Linked DNA regions of Stegostoma tigrinum. The main gene of each other region encodes a partner of the protein of the gene in region 2 in a complex. Links are inferred from orthologs where the notes say so. Each region holds a gene or a part of one and is shown on either strand. Other genes may lie near its edges.

Region 1 (7,356 bases), on a different chromosome or scaffold from region 2:
TTAGGGCAAAGACAGAGAAAGGCAGTTGGGTTCCCTGTGGAACAGGTGTAGTGTTCTTAACTCTGAGCCAGGTGACTTGGGGTTGAAGTCCCATCTGCTCCAGAGATGTTGAATAACATTTCTGAACAGGTCAATTAGAAGTATATTAAAAATTGAGATATCAGTGCTCCTGCTGGTCACAGAAATGGGAGGAAAACCTTAGCCTCTTCTCTTGCCTGCTACATAGAAACAAGAAGCCATTCACCCCTAGAAGGGACGTCATACCTGCTGACTTTAAAGGGGAAGATTCTGCAGCTTGGGCTGAACCAGAGGGAAACCAAAGACTTCTCTACGGGTACAACTGAATTCTTCAATCATCATAAACCCCTCAATGGATCACATTCTAACCCCTGCCTCTCGAGGGAATGTGTCCTGTCTGTGCATCTCACCCTCACTATTTAACCCATTCAGCCTTTGCTCCTTCCCTAGGGTTTTGGGACTCAGGAGTGAGTCTCCGTGTTTGAAGTTCTGAAAGTTGATACCGGTTTGAAGGGATTAAAGTAATAAATGATTTACAGCTTCTGCAATCTGAGTCCAGCCCATCGCCATGACCACGCTGTCGTCTTCTGCTGGGGGAGATCCCAGGTTCCAGTAAGTCACTGAAGAGAAAGATGATTTAACACTGACGTTCCGGTCCTGCAAATCACAGTAAAAGTTTTAAGTGACATTTCATTGAATGATATTTAGGTTGTCATTTTGGAAAGATATTGGCCCTGATGAGGAGCAGGGAGCATTTCCAGCAAAACATTGCCACCAACAGCGCAGGTCACCCTGCATTAACAAATAGGCACCTCTCAGTTAGAGGTCACAGCTTCAGTACACCTCAGGAACATGAGCCACGTAACTGGAGCCAACCAACAGGTAAACATTGAGGGAGCGCCATGCTGTCGGAGGGTTGGCAGCGAGGGAGCGCTGTGCTGTTGGAGGCTGTAAAGGAATGTAACTTCCACCACTGGGTGATGTTCCTAGACTCGGGTGAGCGCTCACAGTTGAATATTGAGTGCTGTCTCACCTCCTCCTCCAGGCACGGTTTATGGTCCTCTTTCAGAACAAGTCCAACATATCCAGGGGGCACAGGAAGATCCCGACCTTGCAAGGCTCGGCCTCGATAGGACACCTGCAACTCTGAGAGAAATTTACCTTTTTTTTTATATGTCCAACGATAGCCTGCACGTCCCTGCCTTGGCCCATCCCTGTTGCTGGGTTACACCTGGAACAGGTCTGCTATCTTGGATAGGTCACTAGAGAGATACAGATCAAAGAAAATGGAGGGAAAAGACCCTGAAGGAAGGGGTGGGGGGAGAGATGAGGAGAATATTTTACTTGAAGCAGTGAGTTCTGATCTGGGGTGTGTTGCCTGAAAGGGTGGGGGGGGGGGGGGGAGCAAGCAGATTCAACAGGAACTTTCAAAAGGAGGGGAACCAGCAGGGAAGAATGAGAGAGATCATTCAGAAAATCTACACAGGTTGGATGGGCAGAATGGCCTGAATGCTGTGCTGGATGAGTTTGCTTGGAGTTGTGGTCATGGGTGCAACCCTCCAGGTTGAGCAATCAGCCAAAGCCTTACCCCCATCTCTGTGCCGCACAGCTGGGCTGAAGTACTGCTCCACTTTGGCACTGCCGTCAGATTCGATAGCAACAGGCAACAAGTGAAGCTGGTCCCTGGCGGAGAACTTCAGGGAACTCAGATCCACAGTGATCACTGAGTCGGCCGCCATTGCCTTCCTGTAGGGAATCAGAGGGACCTCATTAATCAACAGCAAGTAAAACCGGCAGCGAAACATCTGCGAGGCACAGCAGGCAGTTCATCCCCATCTCCGCCCCCGCACCCATTCCCCCACCTCTACCTCTCCCCCACTCACCTCCCATCCCAAAACCCCCACCCACCTCTCACCACATCCCCACCTCCCTCTACCTCCACCCGACTCACCACCCATCCCCAACCCCCCACCCGCTGTACCTCTCCCCCACTCGCAACCCCCCTCTCACCATACATTCCCCACCCACATCTCACCCCCTCACCACCCAACTCCACCCCCACCACTCCACCCCACACACTCTTCCCCTCACCCCCCTCCAACATTCCCCCCCACAACACTCCCTCCCACCCCAACACTCCCTCTCCCCCCTCCTCCCCCCCCCTTCTCCCCCTCCTCCTTCACCCCCCAACACTCCCCCCCTCCTCCTCCTTCACCCCCCAACACTCCCCCCCCTCCTCCTCCTTCACCCCCCCCCTCCTCCTCCTTCACCCCCCCCACCCTCTTCACCCCTCCCCCCCCCCCACCCTCTTCACCCCCCCCTCTTCACCCCCTCCCCCACCCCCCCCTCTTCACCCCTCCCCCACCCCACCCTCTTCACCCCTCCCCCACCCCACCCTCTTCACCCCTCCCCCACCCCACCCTCTTCACCCCTCCCCCACCCCACCCTCTTCACCCCTCCCTCTTCACCCCCCCCCACCCTCTTCACCCCCCCCCACCCTCTTCACCCCCCCCCACCCTCTTCACCCCCCCCCACCCTCTTCACCCCCCCCACCCTCTTCACCCCTCCCCTCCCCCCCCACCCTCTTCACCCCTCCCCTCCCCCCCCCACCCTCTTCACCCCTCCCCTCCCCCCCCCACCCTCTTCACCCCTCCCCTCCCCCCCCCACCCTCTTCACCCCTCCCCTCCCCCCCCCACCCTCTTCACCCCCCCACCCTCTTCACCCCCCCCACCCTCTTCACCCCCCCACCCTCTTCACCCCCCCACCCTCTTCACCCCCCCACCCTCTTCACCCCCCCACCCTCTTCACCCCTCCCCCCCGCCATCACTCCTCCCCCCCGCCATCACTCCTCCCCCCCGCCATCACTCCTCGAAACCCTCTCATTCCTCCCCCAGCCCTGTGCTCCCATCCCCGGTCTAATCCTCCCTCCATTCCCACCCGAGGCTTGTGTCCCGCGGTCCCGCCTCACTCTCCTCCTGCCCTCTGACCGCTGTCACGTGGCAACTAACAAAACGGAAGACACTCGCGAAATGACTGTTGGGGGCCGCGGGGTGCTCTGGGAGTTGTAGTTCATCCCCATCGTCACCGGCTCAGGGTCAGCGCTGAGGGAGCGGGCACTGTCGGAGGGTCAGTGCTGAGGGAGCGGGCACTGTCGGAGGGTCAGTGCTGAGGGAGGGGGCGCTGTCAGAGGGTCAGCGCCGAGGGAGCGGGCACTGTCAGAGGGTCAGCGCTGAGGGAGCGGGCACTGTCAGAGGGTCAGCGCTGAGGGAGCGGGCACTGTCGGAGGGTCAGTTCTGAGGGAGCGGGCACTGTCAGAGGGTCAGTGCTGAGGGAGCGGGCACAGTCGGAGGGTCAGCGCTGAGGGAGAGGGCACTGTCGGAGGGTCAGTTCTGAGGGAGTGGGCACTGTCGGAGGGTCAGTGCTGAGGGAGCGGGCACTGTCGGAGGTCAGCGCTGAGGGAGCGGGCACTGTCGGAGGGTCAGTTCTGAGGGAGCGGGCACAGTCGGAGGGTCAGCGCTGAGGGAGAGGGCACTGTCGGAGGGTCAGTGCTGAGGGAGCGGGCACTGTCGGAGGGTCAGTGCTGAGGGAGAGGGCACTGTCGGAGGGTCAGCGCTGAGGGAGCGGGCACTGTCGGAGGGTCAGTGCTGAGGGAGAGGGCACTGTCGGAGGGTCAGCGCTGAGGGAGCGGGCACTGTCGGAGGGTCAGTGCTGAGGGAGAGGGCACTGTCGGAGGGTCAGTGCTGAGGGAGCGGGCACTGTCGGAGGGTCAGCGCTGAGGGAGAGGGCACTGTCGGAGGGTCAGCGCTGAGGGAGAGGGCACTGTCGGAGGGTCAGTGCTGAGGGACCGGGTGCGACACAGAAGGTGCTCTGCAGAAACTCACCAAAGACCCTCAGGCAGCACCTTCCAAACCCACCACCCACTTCCATCCAGAAGGACAAGGGGCAGCAGGTTCATGGGAACAGCACCCCCTGCACATTCCCCTCCGAACCCCTCACCATCCCAACTTGGGAATATATCCACGTTCCTTCAGTGTCGCTGGGTCAGAATCCCTGGAATTCCCTCCCTCGCATGGTTAGTAAGTTTGTTGATGACATCAAACTTGGTGTCATGAACAGTGAAGAAATTCATCTTCACCCAAAGAGTACTGTTGACCATAAAATGTGAGGCTGGATGAACACAGCTTGGCCTGCTGTGTTCATCCAGCCTCACATTTTATTATCTTGGAATTCTCCAGCATCTGCAGTTCCCATTATCTCTAGTACTGTTGACCAATTGGGTCACTGAGCTGAGGAGAGGCAGATGGAGTTTCATTTGGTAAACGTGAGGTACTGCATTTTGGTAAAACCGATAAGGGCAGGAATTATACCAATAAAAATAGGCCCAGGGGTCATGGAGAAATCTCGGGGTTCAGGTCCCCCATTATTTGAAGTAGACAGGGGGTTAAGAAGGCGTTTCGCACAATTGCCTTTATTGCTCAGACCTTTGAGTACAGGAGTTGGGGACGTCATGCTGAGGATGTACAGGACGTTGGTGAAGCCTCTTCTGGTGCACTGTGTCTGGTTCTGGTCTCCCAGTTGTTGAAAGGATTTCTTAATCTGGAGAGGGCTCAGAGGGGATTTAAGAGGATGTTGCTGGGAATGGTACATTTGAGTTATCAGGAGAGGCTGGATAGGCTGGGGCTCTTCTCACTGGAGTGTAGGAGGTTGAGGAGTGACCTTACAGAGATTTATAAAACATGAGAGGTGTAGATAAAGTGAATGACAGGTGATTCTTCACTCGGATGGGGGACTTTAAGACCAAGGGACATATTTTTAAGGTGAGAGAGGACAGATTTAAAAAGGATGTGATGGGCAATGTTTTTTACGCAGAGATTGGTCGTGTGTGGAATGAACTTCCTGAGGAAGAGGTGGATCTGGGGATAGTTACAACGTTTAAAAAGCATTTGGATAAGGACATGAATCGGGAAAGGTTTGGAGGGATATGGGCTAAGAGTGGAGGCAGGTGGGACTAGTTTCGTTTGGGATTATTGTTGGCATGGACTGGATGGTCCGAAGTGTCTGTTTCTGCATTATCTGACTCTGTGACAGTGTTGTGGGTGTACCTTAAATTAGGGGGGAAGCGGGGTGATGGCCTTGTGGTATTATCGCTGAACTGTTAATCCAGAGAGCCAGGTAATAGCGAGTTTTGAGAAGATTTGTAGCTCAGGTTGAGGCTCTGGATGTGAGTTTGCTCGCTGAGCTGGAAGGTACGTTTTCAGACATTTCGTCACTTTTTTTTATTTGAAAAAATATGCTTTATTCATAAAATGTACAAAAAATAAAACATATTTATACACCTACCCAGTCATGCAAGCTGCTTCGGGATACCCAGGGGGTACATACACCAACTAAAGGAAAAAAAACAAAGAAGAAAAAAACCAAAGCAAAGAAAATACCCCGGCGGTTGTCACCCCGCACAGTCCCCGTTGGCCCCCTGACCAGTTGGGGAAGGCACCAGCTGGGCCCAGGTACAGGATAGGGCCCTTTTTCCTATTCTGGACGAGGGGTTTCATACCATGGTCTTTCCCCACCGCGCCTTGGCGGCGGCTGCCCCAAGCTTTAGCGCGTCTCTCAGCACGTAGTCCTGGACCTTGGAGTGCGCCAGTCTGCAACACTCGGTCGGGGTCAGTTCTTTCAGCTGGCAGACCAGAAAGTTGCGGGCAGACCAAAGAGCATCTTTCACTGCATTGATGGTCCTCCAGGCGCAGTTGATGTTGGTCTCGGTGTGCGTCCCGGGAAACAGCCCGTAGAGCACGGAGTCACGCGTCACGGAGCTGCTTGGGACGAACCTCGACAAATACCACTGCATCCCCCTCCAGACCTCCTGCGCATAGGCACACTCCAGAAGGAGGTGGTCGACAGTCTTGTCCCCCCCGCAGCCACCTCGAGGGCAGCGTGCGGTGGTGCAGAGATTCCGGGCATGCATAAAGGATCTCACTGGCAGAGCCCCTCTCACCGCCAGCCAAGCAATGTCCTTGTGCTTGTTTGAAAGTTCTGGCGATGAGGCATTCTGCCAAATGACTTTGGCAGTCTGCGTGGGGAACTACACGACGGGATCCACCCTCTCCTTTTCCCGAAGGGTCCTGAGGATACTACGTGCAGACCACTGCCTGACGGCCTTGTGGTCAAAGGTGTTTCCTTTCAAAAATGTCTCCACGAAGGACAGGTGGTACGGAATGGTCCAACTACTCAGAGCGTTCCACGGCAACAAGGCCAGGCCCATCCTTCACAACACCGGGGACAGGTAGAACCTCAGTAAGTAGTGACACTTGGTGTTTGCGTACTGAGGATCTACGCACAGCTTGATGCAGCTGCACACAAAGGTAGCCGTCAGGGCGAGGGTGGCGTTCGGTACGCCCTTTCCCCTATTTCCCAGGTCTTTGTACATGGTGTCCCTGTGGACCCGGTCCATCCTCGACCCCCAAATGAAGTGGAAGATGGCCCGGGTGACCGCAGCGGCGCAGGCCCAGGGAATAGGCCAGGCCTGCGCCATATATAACAGTACCAAAAGCCCCCTCGCACCTGACAACCAGGTTCTTACCCGCGATGGAGAGGGACCGGAGCGTCCACCTGCCCAGCTTCTGCTTCAGTTTGGTGATACAATCCTCCCAAGTCTTAGTGCACGCCCCAGCTCCACCAAACCAAACATCCAGCACCTTCAGGTAGTCTGTCCTGACGGTGAAGGGGATGAAGGAGCGGTCATCCCAGTTCCCGAAGAACATGACCTCGCTCTTACCCCTATTGACTTTGGCACCCGAGGCCAGTTCAAACTGGCCGCAGATGTCCAACAGTCTACTCACCGACCGATCGGTGCAGAAGACGGCAACATCGTCCATGTACAGGGAGGTCTTGACCTGAAGTCCTCCGCTGCCTGGGATAGTCACGCCCTTCAGGCTCATGTCCTTCCTGATGGATGCGGCGAAGGGCTCCACACAGCACACAAACAAGGCAGGAGAGTGTGGGCAGCCCTGCCTGACTTCAGATCTAACAGGAAAACTGTCCGATTCCCACCCGTTGATCGAGACTGCGCTAACGATGTTGGCGTAGAGCAGCCGGATCCAATTGCGGATGCCCTCCCCGAACCCCAATTTGGAGAGGACATCCCTCATGTAAGCATGAGAGACCCTGTCGAAGGCCTTCTCCTGGTCCAATCTGATGAGGCAGGTGTCCACCCGCCTGTCCTGCACGTAGGCGATCGTATCCCTGATGAGTGCGAGGCTCTCAGTGATCTTCCTGCCCGGCACAGCACAAGTTTGGTCAGGGTGAATCACTGACTCCAGGACAGACCTGACCCGGTT
Region 2 (7,538 bases):
TACAGAAGGAGATGCCACCTATTGTCAGGCCTTTGTTGTACTGCTTGGTAAACAGCTATGTGGGGTACTGGTTTTCTTTCCTACTATAAAATGCAGCAAGTCTCATTTGCCTCCTTGTACCTCAGCCTGTTCTTAAAAATTGCTCTGTAATTAATTCCACTCGCTTGCTATTTTCCCATAATCCAGAAAATGTTGCTTTTCCAACTATCTATCCAACACCCATTTGGAAAGTTATGACTGAATCTGCTTCCACCACGTAGTCAGCACATCCCCGATCATAACAACCTGCTGCATGAAAACATTTCTCACCTTCTCCTTAGTTCATTTGTCAATTATCTTAAACGTATCATCTGGGAACAACAGTTTCTCCTAGTTTAATTAATCCAGATTATACACAAGACACTTGTCTAGATTTTGAAACTAACCCTGCTGCATTTAAAATAAATTGGTGTTATTTCAACATGTGGACTAACCAATGAAAGACTTTGAGGTAACAAAGTGTGGAGCTGGATAAACACAGCAGGCCAAGCAGCGTCTTAAGAGCACAAAAGCTGACGTTTCAGACCTAGACCCTTCATCAGAAAGGGGGGAGGGGAAGGGGTTTCTGAAATAAATAGGGAGAGAGGGGGAGGCGGATCGAAGATGGATAGAGGGGAAGATTGGTGGAGAGGAGACAGACAAGTTAAAGGGGTGGGGATGGAGCCTGTAGAGGTGAGTGTAGGTAGGGATGTAGGGAGGGGATAGGTCAGTCCAGGGAGGACGGACAAGTCAAGGGGGCGGGATGAGGTTAGTAAGTAGGAAATGGAGGTGCAGCTTGAGGTGGGAGGGAATAGGTGAGAGGAAGAACAGTTTAGGGAGCGGGGATGAGCTGGACTGGTTTCGGGATGCAGTGGGGGGAGGGGAGATTTTGAAGCTTGCAAAATCCACATTGATACCATTAGGCTGCAGGGTTCCCAAGCGGAATAGGAGTTGCTGTTCCTGCAACCTTCGGGTGGCATCGTTATGGCACTGCAGGATGCCCAGGATGGGCATGTCATCTAAGGAATGGGAGGGGGAGTTGAAATGGTTCACGACTGGGAGGTGCAGTTGTTTATTGCAAACCGAGAGGAGGTGTTCTGCAAAGCGGTCCCCAAGCCTCTGCCTGGTTTCCCTGATGTAGGGGCTTGTAGGGTACAGCAGATGCAGTATGCCACATTGCCAGAAGTGCAGGTGAACATCTGCTTGATGTGTAAAGTCTTCTTGGGGTCTGGGATGGGGGTGAGGGTGGAGTTCGAGAACCATTTCAACTCTCCCTCCCATTCTTTGTGTTCTAAGGCCCTCTCCTTAGACATTCCCTACCATGAGCACATCAGCAAGGAAAAAGGTTGTCAAATATTTTCAGCGCATACCTGCACCACTGGTCTGGAGCAGGGGTGTGAAAAAAAGCTGAATATCATTGGCAAGGTAATTAACAAGCATTATTAGTCATTTTATTCCACCACCTAACTCATTAAATGCACCAAGCAGTAAATGACTTTAGAACAATCTAAAAACAAAATAAAACAGTGCAATTGTTCAAAGAGAGCAATAAATTGTTGCTAATTACTGTTAATCTCTTGTCTATTCTTTTCTATTTGGCAGTACAAAGTAATAGGCAAACGTTTCCACTTCAACAGGAAAGCCCCAAAGTGGAACAGCGTTTTCAATGTTGTTAGCAACTAACAAAAGAGAATTTTCTGACAGATTTATTGGCTCAAGAAGTCAGTTGATCTTGCAGCATGAATTGTGCTAATCTTAAATTAGCTGCAATTTTTTGGCAGAAGCTGTTAAATTTGAAGTAGATGATACATTTCGAATACTACATTTGCTAAACAAACTGAATGTTCGAATCAAGCTCCTGTTTCAGTTGATTTCGTTAACTCTCCAGGATCTTGAGGTGATGTCTATAAATATTCAGTACAAGTTTTGCAGCAGTGCAAGCAGGAGTATCAGTATCCTTACAGGCAGATATCATGATCAAAGACTGAGGCACCTGAAGCCATTTCCTCTAGGTCACACCCCCTTTCCCTCCATTATTCATTCAGAACTAACCATCTCCCCCTCCACATTTGCCCAGCCCTCACCAACCCTTTTCCCACCACTACAGCCACACTCAAATTGATCCTCCCCCTTTGTTCCTTTGGGCTTTCCCCAGGCCTCCATTATTGACCCAGCACTCGCCCTACCCTCTCCTCCGTTTGCCTAATCCTGGCCTCTTAAGCCAGACCTACACCCACTTACCCAATCAGTTAGCCCCTCCCTCACCCCTCATCCCCAATCTTAGGCCTTCCCCCAGTTATTCAACCAGGCCTTCCTCCTCTCCGAGACCACCACTCAACTCAACCCTTCCCCTTAACTACTGACCAACCCCTGCCATTCACAGCTATACCACTACCCGATTCACCCAGTCCCAACCACTCCCCAATTCCCCTTAGTCCTTGCCACCCTCCCTGTATTAGTCCCTCCCCACAGACCCAGATCTCCCCCAAATTCCTTGTCCCTCTGCTTTCCCCTCCCCTTCTCACACTCCCCCAATCCAACCATTACTCACGCACCCACCTTCCCACCCCTCCCCGATTCAAATCCAGGCTTCTTCCCACATCCCGCCACCACAGATCAGCAGCGCACCATCTCCACCAAGAACTACTCCACAAGCCCCATCTCCCAGACCCGCCCCCACAAGCCAACGCCTTCGACCCACTAGACCCGCCCCTACAAACCCCAAGCCCCACACACACACACACACACACACACACTCAGGGCCCTGGACAGGACACCCTGCCCCTCCTCCACACCATCCTCGCCCCTCCCCCAACCAAATACCCCGCCTCTCACCCAGCACCGGTCCCCTTCCCGCTTCATCGATGCCCAGGCAGCAATCTTCAGTCCGACAGGCGGCGGGCACCTTTGATACCAGCCGGTAACTTTTACTGCTGTCCTCCTGAAACTCGCTCAGGTCCATTGCAAAATTATAACAACAACCGCCAATCTTAAATAGAACAATGGCTGCGCTTTTAAATGTCTCGAGAGCAACCGCCAAACTAATCTCTCCCGCGCTCAGCGGCAACCTGCCCTTTGACCTCTGATGCCATCCTGAACGCCACTTCACTCAGTTTTGTTTTTATTTTAAAAATCATGCTGTTGAAAGATACAACAAGTTCCACACTGAGCATTTACAGAAAGCTCTATTTTCACAAATTTAAATTTTGATTTCGTTTGGTGTTCTGCTCGTCACTAACTGGGTGCGCATGTGCAGTTCTGCGCAAAACCCCCTGGGAGTTGTAGTTTTAAAGACTCAGAACCAAATTTCGTTTTAAATAGCGATTAAAAACCGAAAGAAGTGTGGATGCTGTAAATCAGGAACAAAGGCAGACGTTGCTGGAGAAGCTCAGCAGGTCTGAAGGAAAAAAAATCAAGTTAATGTTTGGGGGCCGGTGACCCTTCCTCTTAACTGATGGTAGCTAGGAAAAAGATAATAAAATGTGAGGCTGGATGAACACAGCAGGCCAAGCAGCATCTCAGGAGCACAAAAGCTGACGTTTCAGGCCTAGAACGTTTAGGCCCGAAACGTCAGCTTTTGTGCTCCTGAGATGTTGCTTGGCCTGCTGTGTTCATCCAGCCTCACATTTTATTATCTTGGATTCTCCAGCATCTGCAGTTCCCGGGTAGAGGGTGTAAATAATAGGATAAAGGGCAGAGGACAGGGAGGGCTATGGGGTAGAGGGTGTTAATAATAGGATAAAGGGCAGAGGACAGGGCTATGGGGTAGAGGGTGTTAATAATAGGATAAAGGGCAGAGAACAGGGAGGGCTATGGGGTAGAGGGTGTAAATAATAGGATAAAGGGAAGAGGACAGGGATAAAGGAGTTGATAACGATCTGGTTGGGAGGGTGAATGACTTCATCAGGTTCTAGACCCAAAATGTCAGCTTTTATGCTCCTAAAGTGCTGCTTGGCCTGATGAGTTCATCCAGCTCCACACTTTGTTATCTTGGATTCTGCAGCATCTGCAGTTCTCATCATCTCTTGTTATTCTCCCAGCTTGTGCTGAGCTTTGCTGGAGGACTGCAGCAAGCCTGTGAGAGAGATAGCAAGAACTGCAGATGCTGGACTCCGAGACAACACCGTGTGGATCTGGAGGAACACAGTAGGCCAGGCAGCATCAGAGGAGCACGAATGTTGACCTTTTGGGTTGGGACCCTTCTTCAGAAATGATTCGACCTGAAATGTCAACTTTCCTGCATCTCTGACGCTGCCTGTCTGACCGTCAGTGTTCCTCCAGCTCCACACTGTTTTATATCTGAGACAGATGTCAGCCGGGGGTTAGGGTGGCAGGCAATTGGAAGGACACAGTCATTTTTGCAAGCAGAACACAGATGTTCTGTGAAGCGATCAGCCAGTCGACCATTCATTTTGCATTGCCTTTGTGTTAAGTATTGAAATTGGAAATAGTCCTCCAACAATAAAATAGCTTACAGGGCTCACATAATAATGAACTCAACATTGGATTGTGTTATGTATATTTATATGATATCAAGTGATGCTTTTTCATATCCAGGATTTGCCCTTGATCTCATTTTAAGGTTCTCTGAACTTCAAATGTTCTTATGAATTATTCCACCTGAAATATTAGCCCAGATTCCCCTTTCAAATGCTGATAAGCCCTCTCTGCATTTCCGTTTCATTTCAGATTTTCAGCATATTGCTTTATTTTTATCTGCAATAAAATCAACTACCTCACAGTTACCATGGGAGCAACATGTCGGCCTTTTCAGATGGATGTTGACTGAAGTGTCTTTACGCTGTTCAAAGAGCAGGAAGCAAGGCTCCCAGTGACTCAGCCAACATTTTCCTTAAACTGTATACCAAGCTAATTAACTGTTCATGCATTTGCTCTTTGTATTTCAAACTTGGCTATTCCAATGCTGTAGATGGTCCACCATTTTCTACCATCCACAAATTTAAGTTTCTCTGCTACCCATATCCTAACTAATGTGATGTTACATTCAAACGCTGGTTTTTACTGCCATCCAGTCTGCAGACTACTTGTTACTAAAAATGTTCAGAATCACACTCACCTCCCATCATGATCTCATTCCTTTGGATCTCTGCAACTGATTTAGACCTAATACCACTCCCTTACCCCACAATCCATGTATGCCTTTCACTCTTTTCCATCAACTGTTGATTCCTCAGCCCCATGCCCCCCCCCCCCCCCCAATGTCCTCACCTCTTCTTCTTTAAGACAACTGTTAAAGCCCCGAAACGTCAGCTTTTGTGCTCCTAAGATGCTGCTTGGCCTGCTGTGTTCGTCCAGCTCCACACTTTGTTATCTTAAAGCCTAGCTTTTGGTCATCTAGTGCAATATTTTGCTGATGAGGCCTGGTTTCGGTGTTTTGTTGGATGAGACACTTTTGAGATATTTTAAACATAATGCAACAAATAGATTCAAGATTTTATAGGATATTACCAAGACAAAATAGCTGCCTAACTAATCACATTATCTGTCAAAAATAATTGTGTATAGAGTTTCGAAACAATATAAAGCGGCAAAACACCATACTCTGCTGCCTCTTATTTTCTACCTTTGAAACTGCATCAAAAGGTTTTTTTTTTAATTCATTCATGCGATGTAGGCATAGCTGGCTTGGCCAATGTTTATTGCCCTTCCCTATTTTTCCAGAGAAGGTGATGTTAAGTTGCCAGCAAATTGCTGCAATTCAAGGTGTGCAGATCCACCTACAATGCTGTTAAAGGGGAGTTCTAGGATTTTTGACCCAGCAACAGTGAAGGAAAGGCGATATAGCTCCAAATGAACCCTTTAACCTTATTTATCAAAGCAAACAGGATTTTTCATTTTCTTTCCAACAATGTTGCACTGGTGATGAGAAAATACATAACTTGTTTTCCTTTAGAAATTCGAGATCATAGAGTGCCATCAACTGAGGATCAAGCATCAAAACTTACTTTAACTAAATCTTTTGAGTATTTCCTAATGTTGCCCTCCAACTCAGAGCACAATGATGGTTAAAATCAGGAACAAACATTTTTTCCTTGTGTGTAACATGGACATGGAAGAGTGAACATCAGCACATAATTGAGTATCAGCCTGAAAATTCTTCCAACAAACACAAATGACAGGCTGAAAGAATGAGAGAAATTCTTTGTTAGCTGTGTAATGGAAAGAACCTTGAAGCTTCTACCATCTCTACCTAACCTTTTTATTGATGTAAGATGACTAGAAGCTAAAGAAAAATACCATGAGTAGAATTCCCAATTCCAGGGATTGGATCCTCCAGCACTACCTCTGCAGCCCAGTGGTGAACTCAAATGCCTTTGAAATAGAATATCAAGAGCTCAAAATGCACTCCAGATTTGAGCTCGTAATCCAGATTGCCATTCCAGTGCAGTACTGAAGGAGTGCTTCGGTGTTGCAGGTGACAATTTTCAGATGAAATGTTAAACCAGTTAAGGGTCTATCTGTCTTATCATCAGGTCATAAAAGATGACGTGGCATCAAGTTGAAGAAGATCAGGGGTATTCTCCCATTGTTATCCCTCATTGTTAACATCAGGTTATTATTCACAAACACAAAGTTGCTGGAAAAGTTCAGTGGATCTGGCAGCATCTGTGAAGGAGAAGACAGAGTTAACGTTTCGGGTCCGGTGACCCTTCCTCAGAACAGAGGAAAGGTCACTGGACCGAAAACATTAACTCTGTTTTCTCCTCCACAGATGCTGCCAGACCTGCTGAGCTTTTCCAACAACTTTGTTTTTGTTCCTGATTTATAGCATCCACAGTTCTCTTGGTTTTTATCAGGTCATTATTGGTGTTTATGGTGTGTGCAAAGGTGCTGCATTACAGCTTACTCAGGGAGTTCCACTTGCTATGACAATATTCATGTTGCACTCTGGACGTTAGGTATAGATGGTAGAAACTTCAAGGTTCTTTCCATTACACAGCTAACCAAGAATCCCATTCTTCCAGCCTATCATTTGTGTGTGTTGGAAGGATTTTCAGGATGATACTCAACAATATCAGGTCCAACAGCAATCTGTTCTTCTGTCCAAAGAAGAGTCATATTGGACTCCAAATGTTAGAACTGTTTCCATCCCCACATATTCTGCCAGAACTCTTGAGTTTCTCCAACAGTTTTTGCTTTTGTTTAAGATTTTCAACATCTGCAGTATTTTGATTTTATTTGATAATAAACCTGTTTGGCCACATCATGAATGCTTTTCTTGGCTATCATGTCCTGTATTATGACTCATACACTTCTGACTCAGAGACAGGGACAATATCCACTGTGTGCATGATACCTGCTCCTTATGACGAAAAACTGTGCACAAATTGACTGACTTGAATCCCTGCATTACAACAATGATTGCACATTGAAAAGTGTGACTTCAATTTCTTTCGAATTGTGAAAGGTCACAAGTAAGAGTAAGCTGTTTCCTTGAAAAGTAATTATAAATAAAACTACGGCCTGGGTTTGTAGATAGACCTTATTCTAACCCATAC

What was found. The genes of interacting proteins can lie anywhere in the genome.
Region 1: the proteins of rnaseh2a (region 2) and rnaseh2c are in contact, whole or in part, in a crystal structure (PDB 3PUF), measured with the Homo sapiens proteins. The link is inferred for Stegostoma tigrinum from reciprocal best matches to the Homo sapiens genes RNASEH2A and RNASEH2C. Residues at the interface, in NP_006388.2 of Homo sapiens: Thr11, Asn99, Ser102, Thr103, Leu106, Gly107, Arg108, Val109, Val196, Glu197, Lys198, Leu199, Glu225, Pro226, Val227, Phe228, Gly229, Phe230, Pro231, Gln232, Phe236, Leu245, Ala249, Glu250, Asp251, Val252, Ile253, Trp254, Glu255, Asp256; in NP_115569.2 of Homo sapiens: Pro33, Cys34, Glu35, Val36, Ala37, Val38, Ala42, Pro43, Val44, Gly45, Arg46, Phe47, Phe48, Pro50, Ala51, Arg53, Ser62, Phe63, Arg64, Gly65, Arg66, Cys67, Leu68, Leu134, Glu135, Thr136, Lys143, Gly146, Ala147, Thr149.

Annotation. Positions count from the first base shown.
Region 1 is NC_081395.1:3,960,461-3,967,816, forward strand, and holds the start of rnaseh2c (ribonuclease H2 subunit C), read right to left. Parts: upstream 3,029-7,356; 5' UTR 2,957-3,028; intron 1,765-2,956; 5' UTR 1,758-1,764; coding exon 1,607-1,757; intron 1,165-1,606; coding exon 1,052-1,164; intron 676-1,051; coding exon 556-675; intron 1-555.
Region 2 is NC_081388.1:17,345,667-17,353,204, reverse strand, and holds the start of rnaseh2a (ribonuclease H2 subunit A), read right to left. Parts: upstream 3,097-7,538; 5' UTR 2,981-3,096; coding exon 2,854-2,980; intron 2,259-2,853; exon of another isoform or gene 1,994-2,258; coding exon of another isoform or gene 1,981-1,993; intron 1,611-1,980; exon of another isoform or gene 1,586-1,610; intron 1-1,585. UniProt on the Homo sapiens protein: Catalytic subunit of RNase HII, an endonuclease that specifically degrades the RNA of RNA:DNA hybrids. Participates in DNA replication, possibly by mediating the removal of lagging-strand Okazaki fragment RNA primers during DNA replication.